Arabidopsis thaliana: one gene and its partner. The protein of the gene in region 2 interacts with the protein of the main gene of each other region in a biochemical or structural test. Each region holds a gene or a part of one and is shown on either strand. Other genes may lie near its edges.

The links.
Region 1: the proteins of GN (region 2) and CYP5 form a complex in vitro, tested with the Arabidopsis thaliana proteins (one study listed by BioGRID).

Annotation. Positions count from the first base shown.
Region 1 is NC_003071.7:12,764,522-12,774,852, reverse strand, and holds CYP5 (cyclophilin 5), read left to right. Parts: upstream 1-4,243; 5' UTR 4,244-4,324; coding exon 4,325-4,390; intron 4,391-4,580; coding exon 4,581-4,650; intron 4,651-4,790; coding exon 4,791-4,838; intron 4,839-4,943; coding exon 4,944-4,967; intron 4,968-5,189; coding exon 5,190-5,372; intron 5,373-5,455; coding exon 5,456-5,670; 3' UTR 5,671-5,897; exon of another isoform or gene 5,898-6,001; intron 6,002-6,239; 3' UTR 6,240-6,242; intron 6,243-6,415; exon of another isoform or gene 6,416-6,609; 3' UTR 6,610-6,685; coding exon of another isoform or gene 6,686-7,063; 3' UTR 7,064-7,243; downstream 7,244-10,331. Other genes in the region: ELF4-L1 (ELF4-like 1), read right to left, coding at 6,686-7,063; ABCG31 (pleiotropic drug resistance 3), read right to left, coding at 8,398-8,664, 8,838-9,492, 9,565-9,698, 9,797-9,880, 9,989-10,279. UniProt on the Arabidopsis thaliana protein: PPIases accelerate the folding of proteins. It catalyzes the cis-trans isomerization of proline imidic peptide bonds in oligopeptides.
Region 2 is NC_003070.9:4,783,677-4,796,060, reverse strand, and holds GN (sec7 domain-containing protein), read right to left. Parts: upstream 7,512-12,384; 5' UTR 7,407-7,511; intron 6,601-7,406; 5' UTR 6,475-6,600; coding exon 5,737-6,474; intron 5,282-5,736; coding exon 1,664-5,281; 3' UTR 1,407-1,663; downstream 1-1,406. Other genes in the region: AT1G13990 (plant/protein), read right to left, coding at 1-146, 245-282, 496-567, 742-779, 870-1,251. UniProt on the Arabidopsis thaliana protein: Activates the ARF proteins by exchanging bound GDP for free GTP. Plays a role in vesicular protein sorting. Acts as the major regulator of endosomal vesicle trafficking but is also involved in the endocytosis process.

The DNA of each region.
Region 1 (10,331 bases), on a different chromosome or scaffold from region 2:
TAATTTTACTTTTAAGAGATTAGATGGATGTGATATGGTAAAGAATAAAAGCATGAGTAAGTGATTAGGCCCCAACTCCTTTATAAATTCCACCACCACCATTTATATGCTTTTTTGTTTTTGGTGTCATTGTCATTCAAAAAGTCTTTCATTAATAATCATGAAGAAGAAAAAAAAAAACTTCCTTTTTTGTTTTACTTTTATCTTCCACATTTTATATTCTCCGCCACAAAGGTCTCCTTTTGTATTTCCCCTTTAGGAAAAGGAAATTTACTCAATGACCAATCATTATTACCATAAAATAGTTTTATTATTTTCAGGCCAATTAAAGACAAACAAACATTGATCATTGGACTACCGGCTGCTTTTCAATTTAATTATATTTTTGGTTTCAGCTAATTTATAAATTAGTAAATTTTGATTCAAATATTAATTTGATCGCTTGTATGATTTAAATTTAATTCGATTGGTAATTCAAAATCATAATAGTTTTTTTGTACAAAATAGGATACCTCTTACTAGACTTGCAGGGGTTGCTTGGGTGTTGAGGAATGACAGAGGCAATGTCTTGATGCACAGTAGAAGAGCCTTCTCCAATATTTCCTCCTTTTTGGAGGCTCAATTTCTAAGCATTGTTTGGGCTGTTGAGAGTATGGTTAGTCATCATGTGAATAGGGTGGTTTTTGGTGTGGAAGCTGCGGTGCTTGTTGGGGTGTTAAACAGGCCGCAAGCTTGGCCTTCTTTTAGGTTTCAGTCTTCGGAGATCTTGTTAGCTTTAAATGGCATTGCAGTTTGGAAAGTGGTGCTTGAATCGGTGTCTTCGAATAGAGGTGCTAATCTCATTGCCCAAAGTGTTACTAAGGAGTGTAGGCTTCAATCGTACGTGGCCGTAAGTTTTCCTGCTTGGCTTCTTGGTGTCTTTAGGGATGAGAGAGTTCTAACCTCTGTGGACTGAAGTCTTTTTGCTTTTAGGCTCCTTGCTTTTTGGGAGGCTTATTCTTTTGTTGCCCTGTTAATTTTTGGATTCTCAGGGTTGACCTTTTAGTGGGTGTTTCTTGTGCCCCTTGATCTCATTTTTTGGTCTGACTTTCTGCAAGTCAGTTGTAATTGTGCTAATATCTAATATAACAAGTAATCTACCTTTGCGACAAAAAAAAGGATACCTCTTACTATTGCAGTAAGAGGATACTAATTATCAAATTCATTAGAATCATACTCTCAACAAATCCAAACTGTCACATAAATAAAATAGTATTCATCAGTTCAAAAACAAAGTTTAGTATTCATTATAATTCTGTTTTTAACAATGAAATATCAATATATAATAGTCTCAACATCGCACACTGTACGTGAAAATAGCTTCTCATCTATATCATGTCTTATTGTGAGAGTGTAGTAGGTATGGTATAATGACTATGCTTGGAAAAACTAAGAACGGTATGACCGCAATAAATGATCATTCATTGATACTTTTAGTACAACACAATAAATAATCCTTTTTTGTATCATCTTGAAATAATATAGTATATGCCAAATTTATTGTTTAAAAGTGTAGTTCTTAGGATTAAGACATGCAATCTAAAATTAGTTGGTACTAATAATCGTTGATAATCACTACTTGGTTTTAATTTGAGAATGCATGTTGTTGACATATAAATGTGTAGTTGAGAATACATGCTTCTGGTTAAAAAGGCATTAGACCTTTTGGTTTGGGAGAACCTACAAAGGGTATATATAGTTAATCCGGAAAGAAGAGATCAGAAATATTTTCAAGTTTTCAACAGTCACGTTTCGACATAAATTTTGGTCAAGAACATTGACAAAGATTTTGTGTACTGGTGTAACTTTTCATCCACACAGACTACTTTTCTATATTATTTTAGGCATTTTCTGACTTGAACGTCGAAAAGTTTTCGAAAAAACACAAGTTACAACAATGTTACGACAGTTTAGATTGATAACTTAAGGAATGTGAGCTAGGTGTACGATCATCTATAGCAATAAGCAAAAGTGAGAGATTTCTTTAACAAAAAAAAAGTGAGAGATTTTCGACATTGGACATGTGATTGCGAATAGAATTAAGACACGAAGATTTTTTCTTTTGCCAACAGACATGTGGATCAAAGATGAGACGTAGCATAGAGGATTGCTACTTGATCGATGGAAGAGAAATGTGTATTCAGACTCAAACTCTCGACACCACAGATGACTCGACAAGACAGCAGTAGTCGAATCTAATTTAAAAGGTATTCGATTTGACCCTTACTTTTCTCTATTATTCTTTTCTTGAAGGCATCTTATTTTCGTTTCAGTCAATCCTTTATATACTTTTCCACCATCCACTGATTAATAAAAAGAAAGTAGAATCTATTAGTTTCATCTCTTTGGATACGCAAATGTGCTAGAATCTATTAACGAGCACTATAATTCATAATTTATCTAGCCAGTTATTTTGAAACTCTTAAGATATTTTGGTTCATTATGGTTTAATCTTGTTTAAACCGATTAAAACCGATTACCATGCAATATTATAACGATCAGTTGTATGTAAAACTCAACCCGATTACTGTAAATTCAAAATAAATGACATGATTTTATGTGTTTACATAATTATGAATATATTTAACGTTTGAGCCATTCATATTGCATGATGTTAATCTATTGCAATTTATGCAGAATTCATCTCAAAATATTAAGTTTATAGCTTCAAACTAGTAGAGATATTTTCTATGGTGAATTTGTGACTGCATATATCCTTCTGAGGTTAACATATCATGTGAATGTTGAACTTACAAGAAAAGACACAAAATGTGAAAACTAGTTGTCTTTATAAGGATTGCAAACCCTTTGTGTCAATTGTCAAAAGATAACGCAGATGTTTTATCTTTCTAAAAGTAGCCTGTTTTATATTGAAATCTAATGACTTTTTTTAATGAATACTTGAGTGTGAAGGCTCCAGCGATTACGGATGAAAAGTGAATGTTTCAAAAGTATGTGGATCAACATGTAATTATGTTAGAATTTTGTATATATATATTCCAAGAACATATTGTCCTGACATGCGTCAAGTACTTAGTGATTTAGAATTAATATGGAAAATAAAATGACGCAACGATGATTATGTTTAGTAGAGACTAGAGAGAGGTGGAACTTTTGGGTGATGTCGTTGTCGTCTTCGTGACACCACCACGACAATGTTTGTGGTAACTGGTCAATTATGGTGACCTACTTTTTTGTATGTTTTTCCTAACGAGTCAAAACCCGATATTAACACATTCCTCTAAAAACAACTGATATTATTAAGCTTTCGGCTTTGATTAGAAGCATATTTAGAAATGGTTTTCGACGTGAATATCCTTATCGTTTATTTATCATACCGATGGATAAAACGAATAGTTGCATGAAACACTTGGTCTAAATAAACATACGGTTATAGTTTTAACAAAGTGGTTGTAAAGACAAATGGTTTACAACAACACTTGGCTTTTACAACAAATGGTTTACAAAAACAAATGGTTTACAACAAATGGTCATTGGTCTAGTAGTTTTGTATTTTCATTTGAGAAGAATTGTCGCTGGAGACTAGTGATCAACTCCTCTCAAACACAAAATTATCAAAATCATTCCATTTAGTCAGTCGAAATGGTATCACGATCCATTAGAAAATTCAGTTAGTTAGATATTCGACTCAGTTATAAAAAATCCAGTAAAAACGGCTTACATACTTGTTATAAAAAAACCCCTCTTTTTTTTGGAGAAATATAGAAAATATTTTAAATTTTCAAATGAGTGAAAATATTTTAATCTTTGAAATTAGCAGTATTTTTTGCTACTAATGCATACTGATATGTATGGAATATTAAACACAGCTAGGAAAAAAGTGAATGAACCTATGTTGAAAACATTTACCTCTGAGCTATAATGGTCAGTAAGAAATTAAGAGTTATTCTCTCACGGATTCACAGTACACCCATTATAACAAAAGACTAGTCTTCTCTGACCTTCTTTTGTTGCCACAAGAAAAAAAAAGGTTTCGTCAAAAAATTTCAATTTCATGATGATGAAATTGAGGAATTACCTGAATAAATTGTATAAAGAAAGCATTATGATTTTGATATTTTCTCACCATAAAACCAATACTGTAAAAATGATACAAGTTGTTCTGGATAAAAGGGTCCACATTAAATTTAAAAAGCCCACTAAGAAGTCCAATAACAACTCCAGCGTATGTTAGCATTGGATCGTCAAACATAAACATTTCCTTTCTTCAACTACTACTCTGTTTTCACTTTTCGATTTGAGAAAAAAAAAAACGATCACGAAGATGGCGAAAGCAAGCTTTATTCTACTCGGAACTCTCTTCCTCTTCGGAGCCATAGCTTCAATTCAGGTAACTTCATTCATATCCTCTCGAATCTATATCTGTTCAAATGTTTCGTTACCACAAACGATACATTAGATCTACATCAACATTCTAATGGAAGTCACCAGATTGCTTAAGCTTCTAGTGTTATACTTCAGGAATTAAGAACTATGTGACTATTATGAGAGAGTTCAAATCTCTGTTTGTTAAAATTCAGGCAAAAGAAGATCTCAAGGAGGTTACTCACAAGGTTTACTTCGATGTAGAGATCGACGGCAAATCCGCTGGTATGATTCGATGATTTTAGTCAAAATGTTTGTTCATTAAGCTTACAGATTTGTTAAAATGGATTGTTGCTCAGATACAGCTGATGATTCTTGGTTTGTTTTGATGTTTGATTGATTCTCTGGTTATGATTATGTCGCAGGTCGCGTTGTTATAGGACTATTTGGCAAGGCAGTTCCTAAAACTGCAGGTACAATTATATGGTTTTTGAAGTTTTTGATCATGGTTCTGGACTATTTTAGTGTGTGCTTTATATCTAAGAGAGTAATTCGTGAGTGTGTTTGCTTCTTTGCAGAAAACTTCAGAGCTTTGTGCACAGGTAATCTACTAACTATATTCTTATAGTTTCACTATATAAACTTTACATTATGCACAATCTCGAAACAATATTACAAGCCGGACAATGAGAGTGCTAGTATTTGTTTTCATTAACATTTGTTTCGAGATCTAATGAAATTATTACGGAGTTATAATGGAGATAAGATGCATTTTATTTAATCTTTTCGGAACCGGTTTGTGTTACAATGTTTAAATTTGGCAGGGGAGAAAGGTGTAGGGAAGAGTGGGAAACCTCTACACTACAAGGGAAGCAAGTTCCATCGAATCATTCCCAGCTTTATGATCCAGGGAGGTGACTTCACGCATGGGAACGGTATGGGTGGAGAATCAATCTATGGTCAGAAGTTTGCTGATGAGAACTTCAAGCTGAAGCACACTGGACCAGGTTGGTGATCATTATTTTCCTTGAAGCAAAGTTTTGGCAAGTATTTAGAAATGTCTGATGGTTGACAATGTGATTGGATACAGGTGTACTTTCAATGGCGAACTCGGGAGAAGACACAAATGGTTCGCAGTTTTTTATCACAACGGTGACAACAAGCTGGTTAGATGGAAGGCATGTGGTGTTTGGGAAAGTGGTGCAAGGAATGGATGTAGTTTATAAGATTGAAGCTGAGGGCAAACAAAGCGGAACTCCTAAGAGCAAAGTCGTAATTGCAGACAGTGGAGAACTTCCTCTCTAAGAATAGCATTTTAAAGTTACTCTTACGAGTTAGTTGTAATCTAAACACGTCCCAAATGCTACAAGAACAGAATGGTGTCACTGGACTCTGAAATTTCGTTTTCTTGCGTAACAGACTTTTCCATGAAAATAGTACTCGGCCTTTCCTGTTTTTAGATACGCCATGGAAACTCTATGGAGTAGCTGCTGTATCAGCACGAATATCTTCATCCCATGCTGCTTTGCTCTGTAGATGAAGAAGCTAATCTAATTACTAGTAAAACGGAAAACCAGTAAATTGCAGCAAGCACGTCTTGGTCATGGTGACACGAAATCTCTGTGGTAATATAGAAGATAATCTAATTACTAGTAAAACGGAAAACCAGTAAATTGGCCAAAAATATCAAATAGAACCAGTGAAAACCAGTGAAAACCAGTGATAACATATGCTTCCATCTTCTCTAGAAATTTAGGAATTTGACTGAAACTGCAATTGGCTTGTAGCCCAAGTTAATTTTCAATGAATTCCTTCACCATGCCATGGAACATTGTTTTGATGTATCTATCACGTAACCTTTGCGGTCAAAGCAGTAGGTTTCACGGCATCCGGTGATCGGTGGAAGCATTATAGGGTTCATGACATCCGGTACTGGCCTAACAACGCCTTGTGCCCATGGAGACCTATTGCAGTAAACTATTTATGATGTGTGAGGAACCTAGTGGGGCTCATCTAAGACTCTTACCCACTCATTGCTCATTATGATGGAATGGATCATCAATTCATCATGATCTATATTCAATACTTAGCTATAGAACTGACCAGAGCCATCTAAAAGCTATTTCAATCCATAAAAGCTTTTAGAAAATGTAGTATCAAAAAAATCATGAAACTAGTGAATGAGATCATGCAGAATCAAAACAAAAACAGAGGAGCTGAATACAGAAGCATAAAATACCTTAGAGAACACGTAATAGACTAGTGCAAATATCCTAATCCTTGTAATCATATACAAACTCCATGACACTCCTAATCGCGCTTAAGAACCGGTGGTGGTAGTTGTGGTGTCGCCGTCCTTGGTCGTCCTCCGCCGCTGATCGAATTTTTTGGCGAAATTGAGAGATAAATCAGAGTAAATCTCCATAACTTGAGAGATATTACCGTTGATTTCGTTGATCAAGCCAACGTTTCTAGAGACGTTATCTGGGATTCGAGACATGTGGTTTTCGTTGACGCGTTGAATCAAATCACGATTCTGATCAAGATAAAGCTGTGCACGTTTGAATCCATTACTCAACGTATCCCACACCTCCACGTCTTCCACCGCTGCCGAAGCCGCAACATCTTCGCCGTCGTTTTCGTTCATCTCCGGAGATCGGTTGTTTCCGACGAGCGATCGATTTCTCGATGCTTCCATTATTTTACAAATACATCAAAATTATTCATTCATTGTTGACGACGCGATTGGAATTGTTTGTTTCTAAAGATATCTTTGGGAGGAAGAGAGATGAATTGGGGTGACACGTGGAAGAAACCGACCCGGAAAGCGGTTGGTCGGGTCAAGAAGATGACGGTGACGGGGTTGCGTGATGGACCAATGGGTGTTGAAAGAAGACGTCGTTGGAAGGTTATTTAGAAATTATTACATTATTTTTATTTTATATGAGAAATTAGTCTTTATGAAACAAAGATTACGAACAAAAATCTAACAATATCAAACGACAGCAATTGAACTATAACCCTAAAGAGAGCAAAACAAAATCAATATTCAGTGTACAAAACTATAAACATTAAAATTATTGATGGATTTGCTACTAACTCAACCGCAACTGTTATACCAATGCATATCTCAAAGTATCAAGTTCTACGAGCTCGAGTCTCATCACTTCTTCCACAAATTCTTAACAAAACAAGAAAATATATCTTTAGTGAAACTTATACATATCGAAACCAAATGAGGTCAAACTTATATTTATTTTTTTTGGGCAACAAAAAAAAAAGAAAAAGAAAATAAAAAAATAAGTTTGACCTCATTTGGTTTCGATATGTATAAGTTTCATTAAAGATATATTTTCTTGGTTTGCTCTCTTGAGGTCAAACTTATTCATACTGACCTTTTTCTGTTCTTTTCTGATCTCTTTAGGAAGACGAAGCCTAGCCGAAAACTAAAATGAAAATGCATAAGTGAAACAAGAAAAAGTGTTTCCATGGAGTGTGTGTGTGTGAAGAGATCTTCGATGGGTCTCTCTTTATATATATTCAAGGAACAAAATGGGTTAGTTGAAGAAAGATTTTAGGTAACATTTTATTTTTTACTTATCAGAGAGTTTTTTTCTCTCATTTGATTTGCGTGAATCGGTGTTAGGTCGTCGTTTAGGAGAGTGTGTTCACTTTGGTACATCCACAAAAACTGTTCCAAAATACACAACCAATTAAACCACAAAACATTATTTTATTTTACATGAGAAATTAATCTTTATGAAAGAAAGGTTACGAACAAAAAACCCCAACAATATCGAACGACAGCAATTGATCTATAAACCCTAAACACGGAAAAAACAGAATCAACCACACATCCAGTGTACAAAACTATAAAACCCTAATTAGAGCAAAACAGAATCTTATATTTTAGGTTTGTTTTTTTCGTCAATGTCCACAAAAACTAACTTTAAAAAGAATCATAACTACTCTTAAAACGGAACACCAGTGAAAAAGGCCAAAAATATCAAAGTTAGTCCCACAGGACTTTTTTTATCTTCTCTGGAAGTTGAGGTATTTGACTGAAAGTGCAAATGCTGAGAAGAAGAGAGCACAAAAACCGACAAGAACAGCAGCAGATACACCAATCATGTTTGGCTTGTAGCCGAAGTAATATTCAATAAACTCCTTCACCGTGCCATGAAACAATGGCTCGTTGATCATGCTTTCCACGTCACCAAGCTGCGAAAGGATTACTCCTTGTAGTGTCCACGCCACTGGACATATGTAATAGAACCATATCCACCACACTGGAATCAACTGAATTACCAAAACAAACACAAAGGGTTAAAGATTATAAGGGTTCAAAATGTGGTAAGGCTGATTAGTCAAGAATCAAATTTAGTAACAATAATCCATCAATACTTAGTTCTCGATTGTTCGAATGCATAACTATATTAGCTACCTCTCATAGAGTGATATTAAATACTTACAGGCTTTTGGACGAGGAAACCGGATAGGAGATTCCAGAGAGAGTAAAACGCAGAGGAGATCACAGCGGCTAAATGCTGATTCGGGGTGAGACCAACCGCCATCATGCCATAGAAGGTGAAGTAGGTGAATGTGAGGAACATGAACACCAAATACAGTACAAACTTACTGAACGTTCTTTCAAAGCCAATGGTGAAGTATGTGATGACACCGTAGAGAATGGTTTGGGTCAGAATGTAAGGTATCTCCACAAGACCCTGAGCTGCTGCATATGGAATTGGAGCATACATACCAGCGGCTTTCTCTCTGTAGAAAACTGTTCTTTCGATTGAAACGATTGGTTGTACTGATGAAGCGTTACTAACTCCAAGAAACAGACAAGCCGAGTAGAGAGCTCCCATTACGGTGATCAAATCCTGTGAGGAAGTCCTCTTGGAACCAATGTCCCAGAAAACTGTTCCCAGTATAAACGCAGCGATCGTTGTGAAGACTAATCTCACGAGATTGTATTCTGGACTTCTCCAGTAGACAAGGTTCTGTTTCCAGAGACAGAGTAGAAATTGAGATAGTTGGTTTTGTGAGTATCTTGATGTAAAGCTTATTGGTTCTGAGCCTTCTGGTGGAACACTGAGTTGCTTGATGTTTGCCTCTACTTCTCTGTTTAAAATACACAGTATATGGTTTGATTTATGTTTTTGAAAATGTAGCTTTAAGGATTGTGATAGTTACCTAAACTGGTCAGATTTCTTGTATAAATCTGCAAACTCCATGTTATATTTCTCTTCCAAAGCAGGTGTAGTTACTTCAAGCATCCAAGTTGCTGGATTGTAACCACTTGAGATTGGAGGTACTCCGTTAATCCCCTGTAGAGGGTTTAGGGTTTGTCATATTTAACGTGGTGCACAAGTATGTAAGTGCGAAGATCAAAACAGAATAGGAAAAGGCAGGGACAAGTAAGTACCTGAAAGTAATCTACCAGAACCTGCGAGTGTGTACCCAATTTCCCACCATATATAACCTGTCCTCCTCGTTTCATTAGAAGCAGCTGTATTTTTAAGGTTAAGCAAAAAAAAAAAGGTACAGACGTTATTAAGATCATCGACTGATAACAATTCATAACTATTCTTGTAATCCAAGCAAAATTAGGTCAAACCTCGTCAAAGGCCTCAAAAATGTCAATGCTAGGTTGATGAATGGTGCAAACCACTGTTCTTCCAGTATCAACAGTGTTTCTAACAGTTCTCATCACAATTGCTGCTGCTCTTGCATCAAGTCCAGATGTTGGTTCATCCATGAAAATAATTGATGGATTTGCTACTAACTCAACCGCAATTGTTAGACGTTTCCTCTGCTCAGTAGAAAGACCCGTGGTACCAGGTAAACCTACTAAAGCATATCTCAGAGTGTCAAGCTCTACAAGTCTCATGACTTGTTCCACAAATTCCTAACAAAACAAGAAAATATATGTTAGTGAAACAATCCATATTCGGAACCAA
Region 2 (12,384 bases):
TGTCTTCTACGAGCATATCGAATTTAGTTTTGGGTCTAGCCTGCTTTGTCTGGTTGCTGATCCTACTAGGGAACAACAGTCCAAGCTCTTTTTCTACTTCACTGTTTATAAGGATTGCTAATGTCATAGGGAGAAGAAAACTAAAACTATAAAAAAAAACTTGAGTGGAATAGAGTTGGAACCTGTGGTTTGTTCTTGTTTTCATGGTACATATCTGGTTTTCTCTATGTGTTAATACATATACAGGCTTCGAATCTCCTCTCCATGGGTTGGACTCCAACACTAAGATTGTGAGAAGCCACAGTGAGAGAAATGGTTCTCAACGAAATCACTCAGTCAAAGATACAGAGCACTAAAGGAACAACATCAATTTATTAACTTTAGATGAATACAAGCTTAAATTGAATAAAACACTTATGTTCCTATTGCTTTGATATTCCTATGCATCAGCACTATGTGAAAGATGAGATGATAAAACCGTGCTTGCAATCTTACTGTAAGAGTGGAATCTAGAAATGAACAATTTTCCTCATCATAGTTCAGCTGAAGCACTCTTCTCCTGGGGAACTAAAGAAATGGTATGCAGAACACAAACTTTTGAATCATAACTAACACTACATCTATCAATGGAGAGCTTCTTCACCGGTTGTGTGTGACACAGTGACTAAATTCTGACATTGTTCAACAAAACGATTTGACTCCTGTTAACAAAAACAAGGCACTAAGGGAATTTCAAACTACTACAGTTCCCAAACTTCCTAGACAATCTTTAAGAAACTCTGATCAAGTTAGTTGCATCAACGAAAGTATTAATTTTGCATCACCAAAATCAAAGTAAACGCAGGAATTGAGAGCGATAGAGATTATACCGTCATAGCTAGTGGAATCAAACGTCTGCTCAAGTTTCCGACGCATGTCGTAAGCACGCGACGAAACTTGCCTTACAAACTCATCGGAAGTCCCAGGGATCGTACCATCCAAGTGAAGCGCCTTCTCAACTTCCTCGCTCTCTTCTTCATCGCCACCAAGCTTATCTGATCCTCCTCCTCCGCCGCCGGTCGATTTACAGCTAACGAAGTGTCTTCTTCTAGAAATCGAAATCCGTCTCCCGGAGCTGGACAAGCCGAAAAGGTAAGAAGAACGGCGTGAAGGAAGACGAATCAACACTGATCGTGAAGTTGAAACGGGGATCGTAGTAGTGGTGGCCGGAGGAAGAATTATGGAAGGAGAAATAGATGTTAGCGATTCCATTGAAACTTCCTTCTCTTTCTAATTCACTGTTTATCTTTCCCTTCTTAGAAAATCAAACGATCCTTTCTTAATTTTCTCGGGAAAAGAGAAAATTCTCGACGTGACGTAAACGACTCAACAAGAAGAAAAGAAAAAAACTCGTGGAGGCAAAATTTAACAACTCTCCTGAATCTACTGATATTTTTCCTTTGGTGGGTTCCACACATGTTCAAGACCTTCTACCTCGTTCCAAAGGTCCGTGATTAACAAAGTCGTAATTAAGAAACTTGCTTAATTAATACGAGTCTCTGAATTAGAAAGACTTATATATTACAAAAAAAAACGTAGAGAGGTGTTACATAAGAAGCTTTCACTTTCACAGTACTTATATGGATATTCGAAAGAAACTCACCTAATGATCTCACTTGTAAGGTCACGAACCAGTTGTGTTTTCAGGAGAAGATAAGCCATTCGATACGGTTTCATCATCACCAAGTTGTGAGGATTCTTGATCAGGGAATAGCTCCAGTCGCATAGACGGTGCAATGTTATTCACATGAAGCCATGTTAGCTCCCATAAGCTATCTCCACCAAGAGCACTTCTTTGCAATAGCACGCCTTTCGTCTTCATCACCAGCAATATGTTTTTGAGAAGCTCTGGTACTGATTCTTGTAGCTTGTCGCTTTTTTTGCCTCTTACTTTCACTTTCATGTATTTCTCCATTCGAGTTAGAACACCGAGCCATAGCTTGCAGAAGGTTGATAACTGAGATAGCTCTTGGAGTTGCTGAAGAAACACTTTGGAGAGAAGTTTGATTGCGAGAAGCAATGTGCCTTCCATGTTTCGGTAGTCTTTCTGTGACCCAGCAGCTATCTCAAGTAAGTCATCCAAAACCGTGAAGATTACTTTGTCAAAGCATTGAGACCACATGCTATGAGCTAGGTTGATTCCGTCTACTCCGCCTAAACACTTCTGTAATGACTGTAAAGCGTGGTTTCGGACATCCTCCCTCTGGTCTAAACACACTTTTCTTAGTCCTTGAACAAGCCTTAACCACATTTCCCCAATATCTTGTGACATCTTCCCGAAATCTTCTTCTCCCATGTTTTCCTTAGCTGAGAGAGCCCATTTAGCCAAAAATTCTAATGAATCTCCCATTAGATCAAGGGCACGGATAGAGCGTTCGGACTGTCCCACGCGGGATTCAGCAAACTGTCTTGCAGCATCAACACAGAGTACATAATTGGCTGGATACAGGTGAGTTCCTTCAGACATAACAAAGGATACGGCATCAAATCCTGATTCAGAAGCTTCTGGGTGCCGCGCTGTGATGGAGAGTAAGGATGTGATTGTTCTCCAACCCGCCTGAGACCTGATGTGATTAGCATTGGCTTTCACAAGACGGCTGACTTCAATTGCAATTTGCTCACAATAGGCATCTGCAACACGTGCATCCAGTTTCAGCACAAGCTGAAGAGATCTCAAAAGCTCATCAGCTAGGCTTTCTTTATAAGGAAGTAGTCTCTGGCAGATCCGAAGTAGACCAAAAATAGCTTTATCCACTAAGTTGCAGGGCATCACCGTTGACTGAGCAATTGTAGCTATATGTTCATAGACGCCTTGCCATAGGAGAACGATCCTGTCTCTGTTGTTTAGAGTGATTGCAATAAGCAATTCCAGACAGAAAACCGCAGTATCCTCATCCTCTGGAGAACTGGTTCCTTTCTGTGGCCTACCTGCAGCCCAAATGAGAGCACGCGCAAGCTGCAACAAAGATTCAGCTTGTAGAAACTTGCTTTCGGTAAATATGCTGTCAATGTGACATTTCTGAATTGTTTGAAGTGTTCGTTGATGAGCTGCAAGCTGTTGCTCAGTAGGCTGTGATCTTGGCTCTTCTGTATCAAGTGAAAGAAGCTGACTAAATCTTCCCATCAATCCGGAAGATCTCCTCGGAGTTCCCATTGACTGTAGATGAGCTGAAGATAGGGAATTCGCGAGGGGCTTTCCTTGCCCTTGCTCAGATGAATGTTCTGATTCATCAGCTGCATCACTGGCTACACGAGCTGGCAGAAGTCCAAGTTTATGTAGCCGTAAGATACAGTCCAATATGTTCCTCCAACCCGTACGTATATAATCTCCATATTTGTTTGCAATGGTAAAAATTGTGATAGTAGCCATCCTTGCTTTTGCGTCATCACCAAATGCAAGAACGGGTTCATCAACAGATGATGGATTCAACAGAGTTGTGAATTTGCAGAGAGAGACAACCAGATCATCAAGCACATCTTCAAGATGATGACAGGCAGAAATTTTAGCTATAGCCAAGAATCCATCGATGCATGTCTGGTAAACGTCTTCATGTTCTGCATGGTCAAAAACGACTGATATGGCAGCAATGGTTGGACCAGACATGATAGCAAACATATCATGGTCAAGATAAGCCCTTGAATCAGCCAGAATATATGGAGCAGTTTTCTTTGATTTATGCATCAAATCAATCCAACGGCTGGGAGTCATTTCAGGAAAGCCTGCACCTTGTTCTGGAGTAGTCCTGATCTCATTGTTGCAGATGGAGTGAAAGAGTTCAGACAAGAATTCTCGAGGTAGATCATTTCCTCCATTGATATGCCTATTATTGCGAATGAAATCCTCTTCTGTCATCTTTTTCTTTACTTGAACGTTGTGCTGATCAGTGTTAAGCATGATAATAGAGTATGATAACACAAGAGCAGCATCCTTGTTGGCCAGAATCTCAGGAGATTGCATATAGTATCTTTCAGAGAACGCCTCAAGCACTCTCTGTATTTTCTGGGATTCTCCAGGCAACCTGAAGGTTTCCAAGAAGAGTCGGAGTGCAGTATCCAGATTCATGTACTGGAAATCGAAAGTCCCAGCAAACTCATTGAGAACTTGAACACAAAATTCGTCATGATTTCCAAGAAAATCCCCAACAAGGTTCTTATCAAGCCCAGCAGTATATCTAAAAAAGCAAGCAACACTTTGGGGATCGAGTTTGTCAGGCAAAAGATGTGTGCCTTGGAGAAACTCTAACCCCTTCTTTGGATCCCTGTTAAAATGATCTGCTCCAATCATTAACCTTCTCTTGATATATTTTCTCCTGCGGACAAATGAAACCCAGTGATTTGGATCACTATAGTTGTCACACTTAACCATCCAGAAAGGCGTGTACTCATCAAGATGGACAGGACCCAAATCCAAACCAGTCAATCCATTACTTATCCTCTCGGCCATTCCCTGAATAACAGCGATTAGGCCATCCAGAGCAAGAATGTGCATTGCAGACAAAGGACAGTTCACAGGAAATGTGCTCTTCGAGAGAAGATTAGACAGCTCCTCAAACACGTTGCTGCAAGTTATATCACAATCGAGATTGGCATACATTTCAACCATAAAACTCTTCTGCCTACAAAAATTCACAAGAGCCTCCATAGCAACCTCTTGCTGCTGATACGAGGGCCCATATTTTCCTTGAGCAAGCCTTAGAATCACACATGAAAAGAATGCCTCAAGCTGCAACTTGAGTTCAGTTCGTAGATGTTGATACAAATTGAGCACAATGCTGCAAACCATCGAAAGAATCAGGGGGCTCATCGACAATCCGAACTGCATCAAGTTACGAAATAACTCATCTTGAATTAGGCTTAACAATCTTGGGTGATGGCGGATGGACGATCCACCCAATTCAATGGCTGAGTTGATCAAGTTCAACGCAAACAGAGGCACATCTTCGTCAAATGCTATGGTGTTTGATCGGGATCCCATACCAACATGTTCGACCACATTTAACAAAGAGCACAAGAAGTGAAAAATTTCCACCATACTTGGGACTCCGTATGGCTCTGTCATTATATGCAAATCATATGGAGAAGCCGGCTTTCTGCTTCCAGGGCCAACTGGTCCATCATCCATCAAACTTTGAGCACCAGTTGCAAAAGTTGCCATAGAATTTTCAACATCATACTCGGAATTAGCATTTCCATCCTCGACTGGTTTACTCACAATGGCATAATCACTGTCTACTCCAGCTTTCTGCGACCATGCAAAACACCATCACTAATTATTGTACAATAATTAGTGATATATGAATCAAGGGAAGAAGGCTTAAAATCCAGCATTTGTTGGGAAAATTATTCCGTATGAAATTAATTATTCACTATCTACAGAGTTTCTGGTCTAAATTCTCTAGTAGTGATCTTTGACTCGCACTAGGAAAAATATATTTTCCTATCTGAATGAAAACAAGCGTCTACATAATTTTGAAGTTCAAGAGTAAGTTGCAGACCTATATTTAACAAATCGCCAAATCTATGGCTCTTTATCATTTCTATTTAAATAGTTTCTCTGCTTTTTCAATTTTCTAGGTTGCAAGTAAAGGAACCTAGCTACTGTAGTATCATGTTTTTATTTAATCTCAGAACATCCTACAGGACCAAACTGACTTGTAACCAACTAGAAAGGAAATAACAAGGACCCCAATACCATACCTCTTGTTTGATGCTACCAGCTCTGTTGACAAGTGTAGTTTCTGTTCTTTCAACATCTGGGAGATGCGAGAAGATACACCTCACTAATTCATGCATCGTGTGGCGAGCTACTCGTTGCAATAACTCACCTTTCATTCCTGCTTGGTGGACAACACGAAAACAAGTGTTGACGACAGTGCATACATGCTGATTGCTTAGCATAACTGATGCTTTATTTTTCATACATGCTAGAAGAACCTGAAGTATCTTCATTAGCACAACCTCTTCTGATGCAGGATCTGTCACCTCAAATCGACAGCTTGTCACAGAATCAACTACCAAGTGCATAGCGTCTTCAATATTCGCAGTATTTTGATCAATTACATTCAGGTTTAAGATCTTGTAAACTGATGACAAAGCAATGCTGGTTATTGGTGCTCCAGTTTCATCTGACCGTATCACATCAAGAAAGGGCTGAAGATACAACATGGGACTAATTGTATGCCACGGCTGGTTCCATGAGAACACCTGTTTTCTAAGAGCTTTAAGTGACTGAATCAACGAGTGTTCTAGTTGATCATCACCAGACATGTATCGACCTCCCCATCTTACATTTCTTCTCATAACCGCTAAAACAGCAGCAATTTCCGTATCAATCATGCATGCTAAAGTGGTTGTATTACTTGAATCAGTACACTCAAAGTCCTCAGGTTCTTCCTCAATGGCCTTGATTCCAGAATGCAACTTTAGGCGACCCATTTAATCTGCTCAAATCTTCAGCCAGAGCCCAAGGCACTTCAATGCTCACAATCTTCCTGGCAGAATATAAAGTAGATACAGCCGGAGCATATACCCTTCACAGATAGAGGCCAAACTCAATCATTACTGGCAAAAAAAAACAAATTAAATTTAAAAAATCTTATTTTAAAACAGATAATAGATGCATTTCAAGAGCTAATAAGATAGAAAGTGGCGTAACTTTTCACATCATACATTACAGAGATAATCAAAATCTACAACGCTGTCTCTGAATGAAACCACTTTGATTCAAACAAATAAACCACAAGCAAAGAATTCTATAATGGTCAGAAACCATGCTGATAATTTAGTAACTATATAGAGTAACCTCTTCCATAGTAATAACATATGTTGCAGATTTCCCAAATCACATTTAGATTGTGAATAGCTAAGCAACTATTTCCAACAATTTGAGCCCCCAAAAAAACGAATTCCTACAGATCCCTAAATAGCAAAGTTTGTAAACTCGTTGTTACATCAATAAACCTGATAACACTAAACCCATCTACAAAATCAGCAACTTATAGAGTTAAGAGTCACTATATCCGATGGAATAAGTTTAAACTACAATTCAACAGACCAGTGACAGTGTCATGAAACTATTATCAGTTCTCCAGATAAGAAAAATCCCGTCAACACAAGAGAACTCGAGACACGTCTCGCTAAATCTCGAAATTCAGGAAAATCACCAGCAATGCGAATCAAAGAAAACGAGGAGTTTGTTCGACGCTAGAACGAAATCTAGTTCAAATATAGAAGAAGAACAAATAGAGGTAACTTCTGACTTAGATTCTAGTAATCATTAAGAACATCAATGCACAACGAAGGAACGATACAAACAAATAGTATACGAAGAAGAAGTTCGAAGAAACGAGATCTGTAGATTTACTTACTGTTTCTCCAGCGATTCAGAGATCTGTCGTCGGGCTCCGACGACGAGAAACAGAAATGCTTTTGAGGAAAGCACGATCGGAAATTCTCGAGGAGGGAGCAAAAGGCGAAGAAAGCAAAAAAATAAAAATAAAGTATGTACTTGAATTTACGAAAACACCCCTCTCTGCCCAAATACTCATATTTCCAGGTAGATGGGTCTGTTATTTAAGATATTTATACTTGAGACCCTTAATTATCTGAAAATTTACTTCATAACCCGATAAATTATTACTAATGGGCCTATAACAGGCTCATAATATAACGAGAAAAATATAGGCCCAATTAATGGAACCTTAATGAACGGCTTTAGTTTGTTTTATGGTCTTGCAGGCCTCACTGTATAAATTTGTTTTTTTTTTTTGTTTTTTCTCAAATCATATCACTTGTCATTTTCAAAAAATATGGAAAAGAAAATCGTATAAAATTCTATTTGGAAAAGTATATGCTACAAACAACTGTAATAGTACTAGTATAGTTTTGTAGAACAGTTGAATAATTCTTGTTCTTTGATGTTGTTGAGGTGGTTGCCTTTGCCAGTTTGTCCTAATGGATAGTGGGAGACAATACTTTTTAGAGTTTCATAACCGAAATATAAGTAAACCTAAATTAATATGGAGTTGTCCAACATAAACTATATAAGGGATTAGTACACAATAAACATTTTTTATATGTCTCTTCCATTTATAATCATAAGATATTTATGACTCTCTGCTTTGTCTGTTTAGGTATTCTTACACCCGAAGGACATGTCTCTTTCATGTTTAATTAGTGTCAAAAGAAATTGAACTACCATTTTTCAAAAAATATATAATATGTTTATCAATCTATGATTCATCATATGCATAATAGAAATATCTAAATAGCTAGCTCGATTCATATGTTGTGGACGAAATTCGTTAGGGCATTTTTTTTTATATATATCTTAAGTGATTATGTAATACATAACAAATGACATAGTTTTTGAAAATTAACAAAAAAAAGAAGAAAAAGTTAATTAGTTATTCATATGATTTAGATGTAAATAGTCTTCATACTAAGAGAATTATATTTGTTTTCAGTTGACATATATACATCCAGGTATTTGATATCTGAATAGTATAACATTGAATATCAAACATATACTATTCAATATTCATTATCATACACACCTCTAGATTTATAGATATCTAGATTTTGGTAGTATAATACAAAGTTGCCAGTTGGCAATGTTTCCTAAGGTCTACACACGTTTAAGTATTTGTTTGGAACGTCGTATCTGATTCTTAATTTCTATATTAACTTGTATGATATATTTGGTATCCACGTAACTACTAAACTGCACCGGTCTCTGTTTTAAAAAAGTATCAAAATGATATATAAACTAGATTTTAACATGTGATATACTGCGGGACGATTTATTTTTTAAAAGTAATATATATTAAAACTTGCAAATTTTATTTTTATAAAATATTTTTATTTTACAGTTTATAATTGTTATTAAATAACACTATACCACGAATTCATGAGATAATTGTTAAAAAACTGAAGTTTTAATCCCTACTTAAACAGCATATTAATAATATTTTAAAATTTTATAAATATTGATTCAAATACATCCACCATATAACCCAATTCCAAAATAAAACCCGTTCTGTAAATTTTTTACCCGTCCCGTGATTTTTTTTTTAAAGTAGTAATTTTTAAAATTTAAGAATTATTTTTTATATATAAAAGTTTTGCACATTGTATCATTCTCTAATACATTTATATTTTATTGTTTAATTTTATATATAGTAATATTATACATACCACATAACATTTTTGGTTTTATATAATCTTTTCTAAATTAGGATGATTTGATATGTTTAATATTAGTGGTCTTAAAAAATAATTAATTAAAGATTTAACCCGTATTAAAACGGTGGATTAATTATATTTTACTTTTTTATTAATGTTGATTCAAAAACCCGTCCCTCCAAATTCGTCTTGCCAAAAAGTCATTTATTTTATTAATATTAATTTTATTAATGATATGACTCTGAATTATATTCTAAACATTTTAGCTAATAACATCGGAGTGCACCATATTTATTTAATAGGAGAATGTACCATATGACCCGAATACACTTTTATCCAAATCCACCAAAAAAGTCTTGCAAAAATACTATAGAGATAAGAAACGATAGTCGGTTTTGATAGGTATAAGATTAGCAAATATATTAGTTAGATTAAATTAGTTAAAGAATACAAATTGAAAAGGTATATTACATTATTCGAATATAGTATCAAAACTTATATAACACAGAGATTTGATAAAAATTTAATTGTTGAATACTTTTTTTTGTGCTAATTTTTATGTGATTAAAATTTAATTGATCTCATGTGTATGTTTTGTTGATATTATCTATATTGTTTAGTGTTTAAGATTATACACTTGTAGTTTGATAGTTAATTTAAGAGTTTCACTTGTAGTATTCCATCTTGTATTAATATCGATCTAAACCGTCAATTCTAGGATTTTCCAGCTTTTATTAAAAATTGAATCACATCTAATATGTTATTAATTATTGTAATATATAAGATTATAAATTTTCAATATAATATGTATGAAATTGAATATAAATATTTCAAATTATGACCCGTTACTCAGTAGAAAGTTTTCTTAAATCTATTTTTCACCCGTTATAATATTTTTTCATGTATTGAACAGTTTATATTCGTTTTTAAAAATTCAAATTGTGGCATATGCAAAATAACTCTAATTCTTTTTTTATAATGATGATATTATTTTTCCGCAAAAATAAAATCATATAAAGATGAGAAGTGAACTATAATAATTAATAAAAAATTAATATGATAATTTAGATATCAAATATAATTTGTTGATTTTAATTGGTTACTTTTTTGGAAATTAATAATGTATTTTGTTTTTTAATTAAATTAAATTAATTAAAATTTAGATATCAAATCTTATATGTTGATTTTGATTGGTTATTATTTGTGGAAAATAATAATGTATTTTGTTTTTTAATTAAATTAGTATTTGACTTTTTAATCCTTAAAGAGATAAATTAATTTACTCTTTAAAATTTTATTTCTAATGGCATATCTATATAATTACTTACAAAAATTAAGGTTACATTTAAAATGTACTTCCCAAATAATATAGTAGGATCAAATACATAATCGATATTTATAGTTTAGTTTTCTTCTAATAGAGTATTAAATTGATGTGTTACCAAATTTAGTTTGATTTTAGGTCTAGAATTTAGGGTTTGGAATAATTGATCAAAGAAGTTGAAGTTAGTATGAATCCGTTTGGTATAGTTAAAGAGCTGTCATCAAATTTATTACTTTTTCAAGTGAAGTTTTTTTGTTTATTCCAGTGGTTCAAGTAGACATTGTGACTCCAACTAGATAAATGAGAAAGTTATTATTACAAGAAATTTTATTACGGTGACATCATATAAGTAAATACGTTTCGAATGATTACAGCTGTAGCCTCTCTTAATTGGGATTTAAAGCTTCCAATTACTATCTCATCTTCTTCCTCTTTTTCTTTTTTTTTTGTGCGCCAATCTCATCTTCCTCTTCTAATTAAAAACAATTAAGTTCTTTTGAATATCGTACAGTACAGTTAATCAGTTATTATTGTACTAGTTCTTTCATATAGAAACTTGTAGGCTTGTAGCTAGACTGTAGTCATATACTCATATTATCAGGGTCTCATCAACCTTAACAAAACATATCGTAGTTATATACTATATTTATAAAAAGGAGCAATACACTTTGTCAAATTTAATCCGATCTTTTAGTATTTCAAAATTACGATTATTAAACTAGACCTGGTTTGCTTGGAAAAACTAGATCTACTCAAATGTTATCTTACCTAACCTAATTTTGTATCGTTTGGGTGAGAAATGGTGGCCTCGCTTCTAACAAGTTTTCTTCTTATAATCGGGACTCGGGAGAATCAACTTCAAAGGAGATTAAATTTAAACATTCGTAAACGTCTGGAAATCAAAATAATACCATAAAATTGGGGGAAAAAAAAAGAACAAGATCATTTTTCGGCCTTCATTATTTTCTTACCCAAAAATCTTTTTTTCTTCATGCTTTCATGATACTAAATATTTTCATTAAAAAGTTTAAATTCTTACATGAACAAATTGTTTAGGACATGTGTAGTGTGACTAATTTGTTGTGCTGACTAGTTTTTGTTTCTCGGAAATGGTTGAATAGGTCTTTTCGGAATTTAACGTTTGATACATAAAATTCTTTACATATTGCATTATTAAAATTAGCTAGCTTCTTATTAATTCTAGAAATATCATCAGTATATTAGTTGAATAATCTCTCTTTTTCTTGGAAATGGTTGAATAAATCCAGAAAATCATGGCCATAAATCCTCATTTCTTTTTTGTCCGAAAGTAAAAATCCATTCTATAAAATATGAGCCGTCAATAACACAGTTGAAAAAAAAGAAAAAAGAAACAGAACCCATTAATTGTTGAGACTTTTTCCATCCGATAACGTCATTTTTCACTAAAAGAATATATACTATATGTATAATTAGAAATGGATGCAATGGAAAATGTGCAAATGGAATTTTAAGATATAAAAGCTTGTTACCATCTAATTTAATCAGAAGTAACATGTAATAAATCTCTAATAGCAAATAAGATGAAAACATAGAAATCAAAGTGCATGGAATTAGTCTAAATTTTTGGCAGTCCTAAACATAATTTAAAATGAGCAACTCACCTACTTTAAATAGTTTTCGTTGGACTATATAGTTTTTAAAAATAAATTGTGTTCCACAAACACATAGAGAATCAGCTAAGTCTCTTTCATACAATAGCTATAGCTTCAACCAGAAGATTATATAAAAAAAATACTGAAAACTATTGAACAAAACTAAAGAATCAATGATTAGAATATATCTCCGTGGACTAATTA